Linked DNA regions of Styela clava. The protein of the gene in region 1 binds, or shares a complex with, the protein of each later gene. Links are inferred from orthologs where the notes say so. Each region holds a gene or a part of one and is shown on either strand. Other genes may lie near its edges.

Evidence for each region. The genes of interacting proteins can lie anywhere in the genome.
Region 2: pre-mRNA-splicing factor CWC22 homolog (region 1) and pre-mRNA-splicing factor 38A-like share a complex: the UniProt entries of both Drosophila melanogaster proteins name them as parts of the spliceosome C complex. The link is inferred for Styela clava from reciprocal best matches to the Drosophila melanogaster genes ncm and Prp38.

The regions. Positions count from the first base shown.
Region 1 is NC_135257.1:820,008-826,919, reverse strand, and holds the start of pre-mRNA-splicing factor CWC22 homolog, read left to right. Parts: upstream 1-3,903; 5' UTR 3,904-3,964; coding exon 3,965-4,152; intron 4,153-5,010; coding exon 5,011-5,139; intron 5,140-5,371; coding exon 5,372-5,540; intron 5,541-5,960; coding exon 5,961-6,083; intron 6,084-6,206; coding exon 6,207-6,344; intron 6,345-6,855; coding exon 6,856-6,912. UniProt on the Drosophila melanogaster protein: Required for pre-mRNA splicing and for exon-junction complex (EJC) assembly. Hinders eIF4AIII from non-specifically binding RNA and escorts it to the splicing machinery to promote EJC assembly on mature mRNAs.
Region 2 is NC_135260.1:5,477,941-5,485,519, forward strand, and holds the start of pre-mRNA-splicing factor 38A-like, read left to right. Parts: upstream 1-4,571; 5' UTR 4,572-4,692; coding exon 4,693-4,822; intron 4,823-6,038; coding exon 6,039-6,198; intron 6,199-7,579. Other genes in the region: FAS-associated factor 1-like, read left to right, coding at 1,372-1,527, 2,249-2,404, 3,557-3,637. UniProt on the Drosophila melanogaster protein: Required for pre-mRNA splicing.

The DNA of each region.
Region 1 (6,912 bases):
TCATCAAAACATTGTCCCGATTGCAAAGAAAGATTAAAAATATGAGCCGGAGATAACATGCAAATCCATGGCATTGCTCTGATAACTTTAATTGGGATTCCATCAAGCTCACATCTGGTGTTAGGTCTAAAAGCTCGAACGATAGCTTGTATTTCAATGGCTGTTACGGGTGATAAAAACATTAATACTTGAGGTGCTCGATTTACTCATGTAACTCATGAAGTTACCGTCAGTATCATTACAGAATTTCTCAGCCATTCGCTTTCCTATCGTAGAAAAATGTTTATTAAAATGATCAGCTATAGACACGGGATCACACGTTTCAATATTTCCTACAACAAATACTTTTGACAGTTTAAATTTGCATTGACCTAGCAGGGTATTCATCGTTTGCCACGACTTTTTCAGATCGCTTTTAGTTTTATTCAGAACCGATCTGTAGTAAAATTCTTCTGGGACAGTATCATTTTTTAATAGGTTTTCTTAATTTCCAAGTACTTAATCCTGGAACATTGCGATTTCTCGATAAGAGATAATTTGTAACGTTTCTGTTTGTTCTTATGAAGTTTGTTAATTCTTTATCAAACCACTTCTTGTTAGTTTTTTTAGTCGAAATCGGAGGAAAACAGCGATCAAAAACTGGCATAACATGACAAGAGAAGTTTTTGAAGGCATTGCTCGGGTCCGATTCTTCATACACCCCAGAGAGATCGATACATTCTAACGCCGTTTTAAAATTGGCCATATTGTTCGGACTAAATGATCGAGAAAAACTGTTTTCCTCGTGTTTAAATGTTTTTTGCTCTATCGGCATACACTGCATTACAGGTGAATGATCAGAGATGGCATCGGTTAGAATACCGCTGACAGGTTTTCGATCGTATATGTTTGTCCATATACGATCAAGAATTGTTGCGCTATTTTCAGTTATTCTGGTCGGTTTGGCAACAGTGGGATAAAAGGAATATTGGTTCATTAGCTCAGTCAGTTCGTTGACAAAATGGTGCGATGTGTCCATCAGATCATAATTAAGATCACTCATTAGTATACTTTGTCTTGAAAGTGAGGGCGAAACAATGTTGAGGTGGCTAAAAAATTTCTTATTTCTGGAGTTATCGGACAGCGGCGATTGGTAAATAGTACCGCAAGTTACAATTCGGTCTTTAAGATTAATGTCAATGAATAACGATTCAAACGTTTTCTCCTCCATCATGGACAATTCCGGTCTGGTTTTAAAGGTAATACCATCTCTAATATACAAGCCCACACCACCACCCGGTTGCTTCTTGCATTTGAAACGAATCTGTAATCTCGTAAATTTATATGAGCGCCAACTTGGTCAGGTTTAGGCCAAGTTTCATTAACCGAAATTATATCGGGTCGACTTGTGATTGAATCTAACAAAACTTCCAGTTTAGCAAAATTTTTTGGGTTAGTGAGCGAACGCATACGTACTTGCGCACATTTCGCTTTGAGCTTGGGCGAATCTCTTCAATATCGTTTGCACTTATATATTGACTTTTTTTTCAATTAAGCACGTGCGACTACTTCAATTAATTTGATTAATTAACTAATTCATTAGCTTTTCCGAAGTTATTGCCGAAATTATTTAAGTGTAACGTGCACTGTGTATAACGCGCTGCACACTTAAATGCTGAAATGCAGTAAATGGTTATATCACATTTTGATTGAAAATTGGTGTAACTTTTACTTTATATTTATGGAATAGTCCTATGGAATTATAGGCTAGTATTGTAAATCAGTAATTGGAGCAGTGGGAACATTTTGGTCAGGTTCGTCTATTCTTAAACGTCGGGCTATCCTACCCAAATCGACTAAGATAGTCACTTTGATCCTACCGTCCTAATTATTAAACCAGTTACCGGTACTGTAGAATAGGATAGGATTTACATATTTATCCCGGGCGAGAGGAAAGCCGATAAGCAGCTTATCCATATGGCGAACCACCCATATCAGCATATGGCCTCTCGTCAGGTTGGTCAGGTTACCATTTCAAGTCTGGTACCGGTACCGTATGGGATTAGTTATATTGTTTGTTTTCGGAGGCATGGACTTGGTGGTGGAGGAAGACGTAACCGACCAGCGGTTACGTGAACCACCCAATGACGGCGAGGAGTCCAGCAATCCTCTCGCACATAACCATCCCTGCATGGGATTCGAACCTGCGAACCCACGCAGAGTAGAATACCGGTACGGTAACTGCTGAAATCTTATTATCCTGTTATCGGAATTACTGAAACATTAGCAAATTCAGATATGGCTTAACTCATCCACCTGAGCTGTCTGGCTGCGGACTCTATTTCCTAAATGTGACTAAATCTTGGACAGAAATACCGGTACTGGAAATAACAATAAGACGGTTCCTTTTATTACAGAATTACCGGAACGGGGTGGAAAATCTACATGGACCTTTAGATGTCTTGCAAATGCCATTTCATATACCTCCATGTAATTTTTGTATTCAATCGGCAAACTTGGGGGGGGGGGCAGTGGTAAAAATAATTTTCCCCAATTACCGGAACGTACCGGTACTCTAAATTGCAGGAACGGAGTGGAAAACCCACATAAACCTACTGGAACGGACCTTTAGATGCTTTGCAAATGCCATTTCATATACTTCCATGCAATTTTTATAATGAATCGGCAAACTTGGGGGGGGGGGCAGTGGTAAAAATAATTTTCTGTAATTACCGGAACGGAGTGGAAAACCTACCGGAACGGACCTTTAGAGGTCTTGCAAATGTCATTTCATATACTTCCTTGCAATTTTTATATTAAATCGGCAACCTTGGGGGGGACAGTGGTAATGACATTATCATTTTTGTATCGTTCGCGGGCCACAATAGTGCCAAGAATAGGTAATTAGTGCAATACTAAACAAACACTTTATTGTCCAAACACATTGATCATTATTTGTCATTTATCAAGCTAACATATGCTAAAACTACCAAATAAAGCTAAATATAACTTGCAAAAATCTTACTGTAAATACATTTAGTGCAGTAGTGTAAGATTTCAAATTCCTCATCTTGGAAAAAGTGCCATAAGGAAAAAATACTGTTTTAGATTGTCACTGATACAACTTGCAGACATATTATTAGGCAAGCATTGTGATATTTTATCTGCCATATCCAGTCAAAAATCTGTTAGTCAACTTTCTTTTCAAACTCATGTTTAAAAATTACCTTATAAATGACTGAGATTAATTGATTACCGAATTTCACCAAATTTGAGATACAGGAGGATAATTACTATATTTTCTGACATATTGGCAGCATTTTTTGTAACACTGTTTAGGCTGGTTGCAAAAAGAAACACCCGGCGGGAATTATATTGTTCGGCCATTACATTAATATTTAGTTATCAGGCATACCCAACCTATAGGCTGATAGATTTCCATTGGATTTTTAGTTTACTATGAAGAATATTCTGTTAGCATAATATTCCCGACCAAAAAGATAGAAAGCCAGCTAACAATTTAGACTAGCAAAGCACATTATTCCTTCGCTAGTTGCCTCAGCTAACCATGACACTAGTCAATTCATTGACATTAGTGATGTAACAATATGTCAAAAGATTTTTCTAGTTATTTTTATGAAGAAACAATGCCAAATGCGATTTTTGTTCACTCTTGCGCAAATGCGATGCGGGCCACAGATAGTGAAGCGGCGGGCCAGGGTTTGGACCTCCCTGGACTAGAGTCTAGCATAAATTCATACAGTAATATCAGAATACGCGCAAATCTACCAGATTAATGTCCCTCAATGTCTGTTTGTTTGATTTGAGTGTTGTCATATTTGGTGGTGTCTGGGGTGGGAATTTAATATAAAATTTACGCATAATGTACATATCTAGTCTATCAAATCTGCAAATGTATCTATATCTTTATTTGCACATAGACTAGCTTCAGAGCTCAGTAGTGTATAAATTTTCAGTTCAAAACATGAGTAAAGCTAGACATCTGGAAGAAGGTGAAATAATAGAGGAGAAAAATGAAAAGAATAAAGGAGAACCTCCAGAGAAGAAGAGCAAAATTGACAAAGAATCCATGATTTCTACAAAAACTGGAGGAGCATATATTCCTCCGGCTCGTTTACGAATGATGCAACAGCAGATTACTGATAAGAGCAGGTTTGAAACAGTAAAATATTATGACCATATTATTCGAATTGATGCTATGGTTAGCACTTGTGGCATTTCAAGTTCGAATTCCAGCCACTGAATTGCCCAGAAATATATGGTGATTAATTGGTATGAGTACTTTAACATTTATGTAAGCTTCGGACTTCAAACAGGCACTTCTATCCCAATTCCCAACTATTTATATTCTATTGGTATGCTCTTCTGCCTATAAAATTTTTGTTTTTGATATACCTGTGTGATGTACTAACGGTGAAATATATCTTATATACCCATGCCCACTCCCACACCATGTTGAGAGCACCTTATCTTCATTTTTGGCGTGCTGAGTGGAAGTTCAAATATTTTCAAAATTTTGTTATTTTCTCTTACACAATGCTGAAAGTGTTACACAGCGTTCCAATATGCCAGGGTGATCCAAACCCAGGCTTCGTTATCTATGGCCCGCGCTGCCATTGCGGGAGGGTAAACAAAAAATCTAACAAAACAAAATTTGGTGTTGTTTCGTCATAAAAATAACCATAAAATAATTCCTGTTGGGTGGTTTTCCGCAATCAGCCTAATTAGTATTACAAAAAATGCTGCCTATATGTCAGAAAATTTAGTAATTACCCTCCTGTATCTCAAATTTGGTAAAATTCGGTATTCAATCAATCTGCAGTTATTTATAAGTTGAACTCTTTTGGCCCGCGAACACATCAAATATAATAGTGTGCCCTGCGAGGCCACCAACCTTGGACCACCCTGCTATATGCGCTTTGAAGCATTTATTATTAAATTAATGGAATTTCTCTGTTGACAGCAAAATGATGACTTAATAATAATACTGAATTTTTCAATATTTTGTAGCGAGCAATATCAGAGAATAAGTTGGGAAGCTCTGAAGAAGAGTATCAACGGTTTGATCAATAAAGTGAACACGTCAAATATATCAAGCATTGTCAGAGAGTTATTTCAAGAAAATATAGTTCGTGGAAGGTAAAATGTGCCACTGTGTGTCGGGTTCTTTATTTAGATAAACTGTTATATCTAATGCCAATAGTCCAATACTATGAAATTTTAGATGCATCTATATTATTGTCAATATATTCGTCATGTTATGATATTGCTCATTATGTCTTTTTGATCACAATTGCAAATTTTTAAAAGCATTTCCAAATAATGTGGTCAAGATTGTTGTCGAATTAAAAACTTTTAACATGTTTTTCAGGGGAGTGTTGGCCCAATCTATATTGCAAGCTCAAAATGCTTCTCCAACCTTTACAAAAGTATATGCTGCTCTCGTTGCAATCATCAACACTCGTTTTCCACAAAATGGAGAGTTAATATTAAGAAGACTTGCCTTGCAATTCCGTCGGTCTTATAAAAGAAATAGAAAGGTAGCTAGCCGAAGTCCGTAAATTTATCTCCTGTGAAGATAGTGTTGAATAAACTTTTTTTTTACAATTAATTTACAATAGGCCTAAATAATATTAATTTTGTGTTAGTCAAGTTGTCACAGCTGACTCGTAATATTCGAGTCTTCCTAATAAATTACTATAGTGAGAGACACTATAGTGAGGTTTTTATAAAGCAAAAAGGGACAATAATAATATTTTGAAAAATTGCCATCATTTTAAATCAATGCTTAATGTAAATGTCGGGGTTTGTGAATGCCATGAAAGGTCATGATTAGTTTTGAATCAAATTTATTTTACTGTGAGTGGCTGATCAGATCATTTTATTACTTTACCAACTGAGATTCTAAATTGAAGAGATTGATATTTTTTCTTACCTGACTTCATGTCATTATTTTTTAGGAAGTATGCCTCCACTCTGCACAATTCATTGCCCATTTGATGAACCAGCAAGTTGCACATGAGATTATTGGACTTCAAATTTTAACTCTATTGCTTGAAAACCCGACAGATGATTCTGTGGAGGTATGTGATTGTGGTTTGGTTAATTCGTGAATGTATGATAAATAAATAAAATGGCATGTTTTAAACTCGTTTATCTCAAACTAAAGTATTTTTAGTGAAAATCTTTCTCTTGAATTTTCTCAGGTTGCAATTGGATTCTTAAAAGAGTGTGGCCAAAAATTATTAGAGGTATCACCCCGTGGTCTTGCAGCAGTCATGGAACGTTTACGTACAATATTACATGAACAAGAGCTTGACAAGAGAGTGCAATACATGATTGAAGTAACTAATTATAATTTACTGTCATAAGTTCATTGATTGCAGATATTTCTCAAATCTCATTTACATCTGATACATTTATTTATTTTTCTAATATTGAAGACTATATTATGAAGTAGCAAATCGCATCAAACAGACTTATACGTTTTGATCTGATATAGGATAGAAATCAAAAGATATTGTCAAAGCAACATTATATGTTTTCAAATTCAATCCTAAATCATGCTAATCCATGCTAAAATTTACGGTGCAAAAAATTCTTACATTTCAATTTTCTACTTCCACTCTGCTACTCTTATTTGTCAATCATTTTATGTCATCTAATTTAATTTTCACATTTGTTTCGGAGATCTTGAGTCAAGAATAAATTTGTTCAAGCCAGTGACAGCCAATATATCACGAGTTCTCGGTCATAACTGATATGAGTATCAATGTAGAGAATTCAAATTCAAAATGAATTGAAAAATCCAGGGCACTGAATTTTAAATTGATATTACCTTTTCTTTTTAATCAGGTGATGTTTGCTATTCGAAAAGATGGATTCAAGGAACATATTTCTGTTGAAGAAGAT
Region 2 (7,579 bases), on another chromosome or scaffold:
ACTCGCATACTAAGCAAGTTCTGATATATATAGGGTGTCCATAATGTCCTAATAATTTTAAAAATTGCAAAAGAAATTTATCGATACCATATATTGTTTTGGCCCTCACAGATGTATTAAAGGAAGTAAATATACTTAAACAATTACTGATCAAAAAACTTGGTTAAAATATATTGAGAACTGACTTCAAAACAAAATTGAAATTGTAAGAGAACTTTATGAACACCCTGTATAATATTATATATACTATGCAATTCAAAAGTCCCGCTGCACACTAACACAAATGTATTTCTGTAAGTTTCTTCTGACAAAAATCAGACTTCACCAGGTCACAACGTAATTTAGGCTATTTTCTAAGGTTGAGACGGTAGTTCTTAAACCTTTTTTCTTTCTAACCGGTTCTCCCACGCATTTTGTAGAATTGACAACGTATTTTAGGCTATTTTCTAAAGTTGAGACGGTAGTTCTTAAACCTTTTTCTTTTCTAACCGGTTCTCCCACGCATTTTGTAGAATTGACAACGTATTTTAGGCTATTTTCTAAGGTTGAAACGGTAGTTCTTAAACCTTTTTCTTTTCTAACCGGTTCTCCCACACATTTTGTAGAATTGACAACGTATTTTAGGCTATTTTCTAAGGTTGAAACGGTAGTTCTTAAACCTTTTTCTTTTCTAACCGGTTCTCCCACGCATTTTGTAGAATTGACAACGTATTTTAGGCTATTTTCTAAGGTTGAAACGGTAGTTCTCAAACCTTTTTCTTTTCTAACCGGTTCTCCCACACATTTTGTAGAATTGACAACGTATTTTAGGCTATTTTCTAAGGTTGAGACGGTAGTTCTTAATACTAACTAACCGGTTCTCCAACACATTTTGTAGAATTGCTGTGGAAATAGTTTTCATAAATTGTAATTAACACGAACATTGCATTATTTTCTGATTGCGATAGGTTACTACATAAGTGTGTACACATAACTGTGATATATATCTTTGATTGTTATGTTCATTTTTTCAGGTACTTCCGTAGTGTGTGTACCAGATTAGGCCATAATTTTATTCCAATTTTTCATATTTCAGTTTTATTACGAGTTCGGGGACTGTCTGTGTTAGCCTCCTCCCATAGGTTTTAGTCCCTCTACACAAATTGATGTAAAGTAGGCAAACAAAATTAGTTACCTCTATATTAGTACACACACTTTTGGAGCGCCTTCAACCTTAACTTGACAATTCAGCGTTCTCGCACCCATTAGCGGTGCTTGCACACCCCGATCAAATAATGTATGCGTTTAAAATAGATAATATATATATGTAGTTTATTCAAATTTAGAAATAGTTTAGTGAAATATGCCGTCACCAAAAATCTAAATGTACAGGCTAAAAAGCGAGAAGAAGAATCAAGATTAAAGAAAATGAACAAAGTGAACGCGAATAAATTAAGAGAACTCGAAATAAAAGAACAAAGAAAACTAAAAGCGGAATCTTCAAAAATGAAATCATCTTTGAGAAAGGAGCCAAACCATTCAAGAAATGTAAGCTCTGCTGAGATTGTTTGAATAATGAAGTCTATAATGTTACTATCACTCTCTAGATGACTCATGTGTGGTTAGTTGAATTAACAATTCAAAAAGGTTTTCATAAAGTTTAACTTTTATCGTCATATAAAAAACACTTTCACAAGCATTCGACAAATGTTAAGATTTCGCGAAAATAATAGTCTTTTTTATAGCTCTTCCATTTCCAAACAGTGCGTACTTGTGAAAATAAAATTCCGAATGTCATAAGTGTTTAATTTAAACAAAGTCAGTAAAAACCGTTTACGATTGAAAATAGGAATATGTGGAAGGAAACAAAAAGTCGCCATTTTTATAAATAAGAAACTGATTCCGTAAAACCGGTATAATATAGGATAGGATTTGCATAATTAATTATCCTGGGGAAAAGAAAAGCCGATAAAACGGTTTAATCATATGGCGAACCACGGGCTCTCGTCCGATTACCAGTCCATGTCGGGTTTTGGATTAGTTAGTCATTTTTTTAGGTGCATGGACTTGATGGTGATGGAAGCCATAACCGACCAGCGGTTAAGTAAACCACCCTGAAACGGCGAGGAGTACAGCAATCCTCTTGCACATAACTATCCCCACGTAGGATTCGAACCTGCCAACCCACGCAGGGTAATCAAAGGTGCGTGGCGATTGTATTCCTAACGCTTAGCACGGTGCGCCACATTGTTGCTTTGTATGTTTTCAGGTCATTCAAATTCGACTACGAAAACCTACCGGAGAAGGATTTTTAAGCAGAAAATTTGCTAGGTCGGATAAACTGCAAGATTTATTGAATTTCATCATTTCCGAAGGATTTTCGTTGAAGAATTACAGAATTATATCAGTGTGCCCGCGGCGCGAGGTGACATTTAAAGCTTAGAATGAGTAGTATTATGAAACTTTTCGATATTAGTAAATATCGAAACATGCCGATACTCTTATCAATAATAATGGTGTTAGTATTGTTTTGTTGGGAAATTATACAAGTAAACGTTAGGACTAGAGATAATTAAATCAGCTCTAAACTCTCTGTCTAGTCTATATATACTAACCAAACATTAAAAAAAAACGTTTTTTTTTTAATTACCGGACTATCAGTTTTCATGCGTAGAATTTGGGGCTGAAATAGGTTTTTAGCGTAATCCCCCAAAATAGAACGTTAGCATTTAATTCTATAAAGATATGAATGAAATTTTACGGCCTAATAGTTGACGAGTGAAAAAATGAAATGACCATACAAAAATGGACCCGAAATGAGCTATTATTGGCGAAAATTCGTGACATGGGTTGCTCAAGTAATTAACGTTGATTGAACTGAATGTGACTGACAAGTGATGCCAATTTTTGTTACTGTGTACATATTTAGCAATGATGCTACAGCGAGGCGTGAGACTCTGACTCTGGATTGACTCCAGTTAATCCAATATAAACCACCTTCGTCCATTTTCTTAAAATGATGCTTTAAATAAGGGGAATACCATTGTATTATGCAAAAAAGATTAGTCAATTTGAGACATCGTTTAGTGGAGCGAATTCAGTCAAATAGCTCATCATTCGTTTACGCTACACAACCGTCAACAAGATCACGCAAACAGCTGAACAACGCAGGCAGAGCGGAAGTTTTGCATTGATTCTTGCATGATAAAAATAAAATATTTGTCTGAGTGAGTTTCCCCCACAAGGCAATTATCGCGCGCTAGCAATAAAAAGTAGAACATGATCTATTGCTCGAAAAAAAATTCACTCAAAATATTGGATAAATTCTCGAAACAATGAAGTCTAAAATGGGTGCGGGTTTTCAATAAACAATGGGAGTTCTAAAAATATATTGCATCGCAATAAATATATTGTGGCTGTGTGCGGCCGGCCTTTAGATAACTTAATATCTCCCCACTACGGGCAAAAGTTTCTATTAATATTTTTATATTGGTAATATTTCCAATTTAGTTCATCGAATTTATGAACACGTATGATTTGATATAAAAACGATATTGATTTGTCCTATTATTTTTAGCTTTCATGTTTAAACCCAAAACGACCATTGAACTCGTATGGACTTGCAAGACAAGAAACTCTGATCATCGAGATGAAGTGAACATTCATTAAAACTGTCTGTAACTTCAATAAATATGTTTTACTTTTGTTTGTTTGTTCGATCTTCCTAAATGATGTTTATGAATGAGGGTAGGGATCTATACGCTTATCCAATATTGATACTAATCTTTATGAAGATTGAAAAAAACGACCCATTTCTTTAAGCATTCCTGAATTCTTCATCACATCCTCTTCCCCACCCGATCTTCTCAGTGGGTAGCTCCTGACTTTCCACTTTTAATACCATTTTCTAACGAATTGTTAAATGTCAAACCCCAACTTATCTCCATATGTCCAATGCCACCCACTAGCTCTGTATGATCTCCCACGTCCACTAACCGTACCTGACCTCCCACTGTCTAAACTCTAAACCCAACCCCTTACCTATCTGAACTCCCATGTCTAGGCCTACCCACTAACTATATTCGGCCCAATATGTCATTCACTGCGATGAGTTTTGCAGCGTATTGCTCTGCTGTAGTTCAGAGTAAACCATTATATCGATCTAGCCGCCGTTTCCATAAATATAGAAATTGGCGATGAAATATTGACGCACCTTCTCATCCCGGAAAGCCGGCTCCATTCGCTAACATGCATCAATGAATCACGTCTTCTGTTGGGATTGTTGGACCAAATCACGAATTACTATAGATTGAATGTAATCAAAACGAAGTATCTAATCTATTGCAATAGGGTAAAGGAAGTCTTCCCTGTCAAAAAATACTGACTTCGCTGAAAGGCGATCGCGAAGCCGTCACACGGCACGCAATCTGTTTTTAATGACGTCACCACAAAAAACTTACATAAATTTTTGAAATAGATATATGCATTATCCTTTTAGAGACAATAACACTGAAACCACTGAAATTACAATCATTAAATTTTTTTTTATTCAAGCCAACCAGTTACAAACTTTTGAAATTTCATATCCGTTAGTCGGGGCTAAAGATCAAGGTTGCTGGTTTTCGTCAACTGTGTTAAAAAGCGTGAGGTACTATCACGATAAATCAACAGTTTTCGGGTTGATTTCTCGTTTTTCCCGCAGTTTTATAAGATATGGCGAATCGCACAGTGAAAGATGCGGTTACTGTGAAAGGAACAAATCCGCAGTATTTGGTGGAAAAGATTATAAGATCGCGTATTTATGACAGCAAGTATTGGAAAGAAGAATGCTTTGCTCTTACAGGTAAATTAATACCAGAACGATTTCCTGGTCTGGGAGTTCATTTATGGTTGATTGATACCGGTACCGTACTGTATCATTTAATACAGTAATATTGTAATCTGTGGGTTTGAAACAGGGTTATTTGTAAATTTGAGCAGTTCTCAAATTCCCCTCATGCTGACATTAATAAAGAACCTCAATTATAACAGTGATTGCAAACCACACCTTTACGAGGTAATTTGGGCCTTTACGGTATATCAGCACAAACTAGCACAGTGCAATAAACTAAACCTGTAAAACGAATCAGAAAACGACACCATTAGATTCTTCGGAAAAAATAATTCTATTTATAGAAGGCTGGATAGGAAAATTTTAGGTAGCATTCAAGAGTTTATATGTCTGGATGAGCTATTACAATGAAAAGTCACAAATAATTACAGCGTTTAAGTATCAAACTTTAATCGATTCTACTGGAAAAAATGTATGACTCTATTCTTTAATCATCAGATATTTATAAAGGCCCATCCCCAGCATGAATGTTTGTTCAAAATCATATGAACATGCTTAAATTTATCCCTACGCAGCCTTCCAATTTTCATTATCATGCGTTGTCTCCTTATTTGTCCCAACTTGGTTTGTTGGAATATTGTTTGGTCTATATCACTTATGGTATATATTACAATTGTTGTTTGGCAGTTAACAGTCATTACTTATCGATCTTAAGATCGGTAAGTATATTGATAGGTATTTGTCTGTATGTATGTCTGTCTGTGTGTCTGTTAGATGCACGCGATATCTCACGAAAGCGAGGTTGAATCTGCTCCAGATTTTGCATGTGCATTCATCTTATCTCGGACCAGAAGCCTATTGATTTTGGGCGAATTATGTCGTATAATTAGCGAGTTATCAATCAATTATTGATATAGTGATCTAGATTTTTTAAAGCGAGAGAATTTCGAAACCCGCCGAGTGTGTGTGTGCGATGCGCAGTGCGCAAGTTACAAGAGCGGATGAATCGAAACTGCAGTTTCTGTTTTGGGGGATCCCCTAACTATCGATCGATAAGTCTTCGGTTTTCAACCGATATTCTCGTTGTATATTCAGGGTTGCATTTCGTGCAATCGTGTTTAACATATTGCAGGTCTTATACATCCCGATGTCTGAATTTCTTTTACATTCATATCTAGTCTACTAATTTTTTATTGATTGTGATGAATAATCACATTTTTATTTTTAGCCGAGCTGCTTGTAGACAAGGCAATGGAACTTAAGTACATTGGTGGAGTTTATGGAGGAAATATCAAACCAACACCTTTCTTATGTTTGATTTTGAAAATGCTTCAGATTCAACCAGACAAAGATATTATTGTGGAATTTATAAAGACAGAGGATTTCAAGTAAGTCCAAATGAAAGCCATGCTCAGTTGTAGGAAAATTTTAAGAACAGTTTCTTTTTTTATCGATTGGGTTTCTACAAGACCAACTACTTTTCCGTTTTCTATGCTTTTGCGTCGGTGGATCCGTATGCATATAATGCAAGGATGCTGTAGCAAGAGTGAAGATAACTATCCTGAGTAATTCAATAAATAGTCTTGCTGCACACTAACACAAATATATTTTTGTAACGTTTCGTCTGACCACGGTCAAACTTCCTCAGACTTCCTCGGAGTTGAAATATGTATGTCTGAGGAAGTTTGACCGTGGTCAGACGAAACGTTACAGAAATATATTTGTGTTAGTGTGCAGCAAGACTCTTGAATCACTTAGGATCAGTGTTCACTATTAGCGCACTTTTTTGCGAAAATTGCGAAGCACTTTCGCAACTTTTTTTAGGGACTGCGAAATAGCACTTTTTTCCGATTTTGAAGAGAAATAGCACTTTTTTCCGATTTTGAAAGGGAATAAAAATTCAAAGTTAACAAATATTTTCGAGTATTAAGTTGACAAATAAGTAACATACTGGTACTTTTGTAACTCAATTCTGCATATCATAACGATATTTACCGGAATTCTAACCTATGAGATGCAGACATAGGAGATAAAGCTTTTGCATTAACGGCAAAATTCTTGTTTATAATATGATTATTATACAAGCACACGGATTCCGCTTCTCCCGCAAAAAACGCTCCCGGGGCGTTTCTTTGAACGAGAGTGGTCATGTCATGTGACTATCAATGATATCGATGAATTCAAAATGACTATAAAAAGTGTTAGTAACTGTTTTAGTCACTTTGGATGAATTGTGACCAAACTGCACGATTTTCAAATCAGACGAAACTTTTAGCAGCATGTCACAGATTTGCAAAATCAACAAATTCACAAAATACCATTAAGTGCCATTTTATTGTAATTACAATGTTGAAAGGACGTGGCATTTTCCGGAATTTGGCGATAATTACACAACTATTTCTCATTGATATGCGAGGAGGGGTGGGCAAAATTCAATATTTTTTTAAATCGAATATTTTTAAGGAGTACCGAATAAACGTGGTGGAAACATTAAAAAATCGGCAACAAAGCCTTTTTACTGGTTAATTCCGTTGTAATCGCTAATTGTTCTTGTCACCCACCGATCGTTTTGGCGGCGATATCCAGGTTTTGTGCCTATCCTGAATGTTGATTTGAAATAGTGATTGAATAATTCGGCAATAAAAGCATTTCTGCGTGGTCATAAGGCGAGATGACGTTAATGAACAGCACTTCTTTTACAGGATATTTTACGTATGCGACTTAATGCTAAAAAGATTGGGCTCGAGTGCTTTTTTTTTCGAGTGCTCG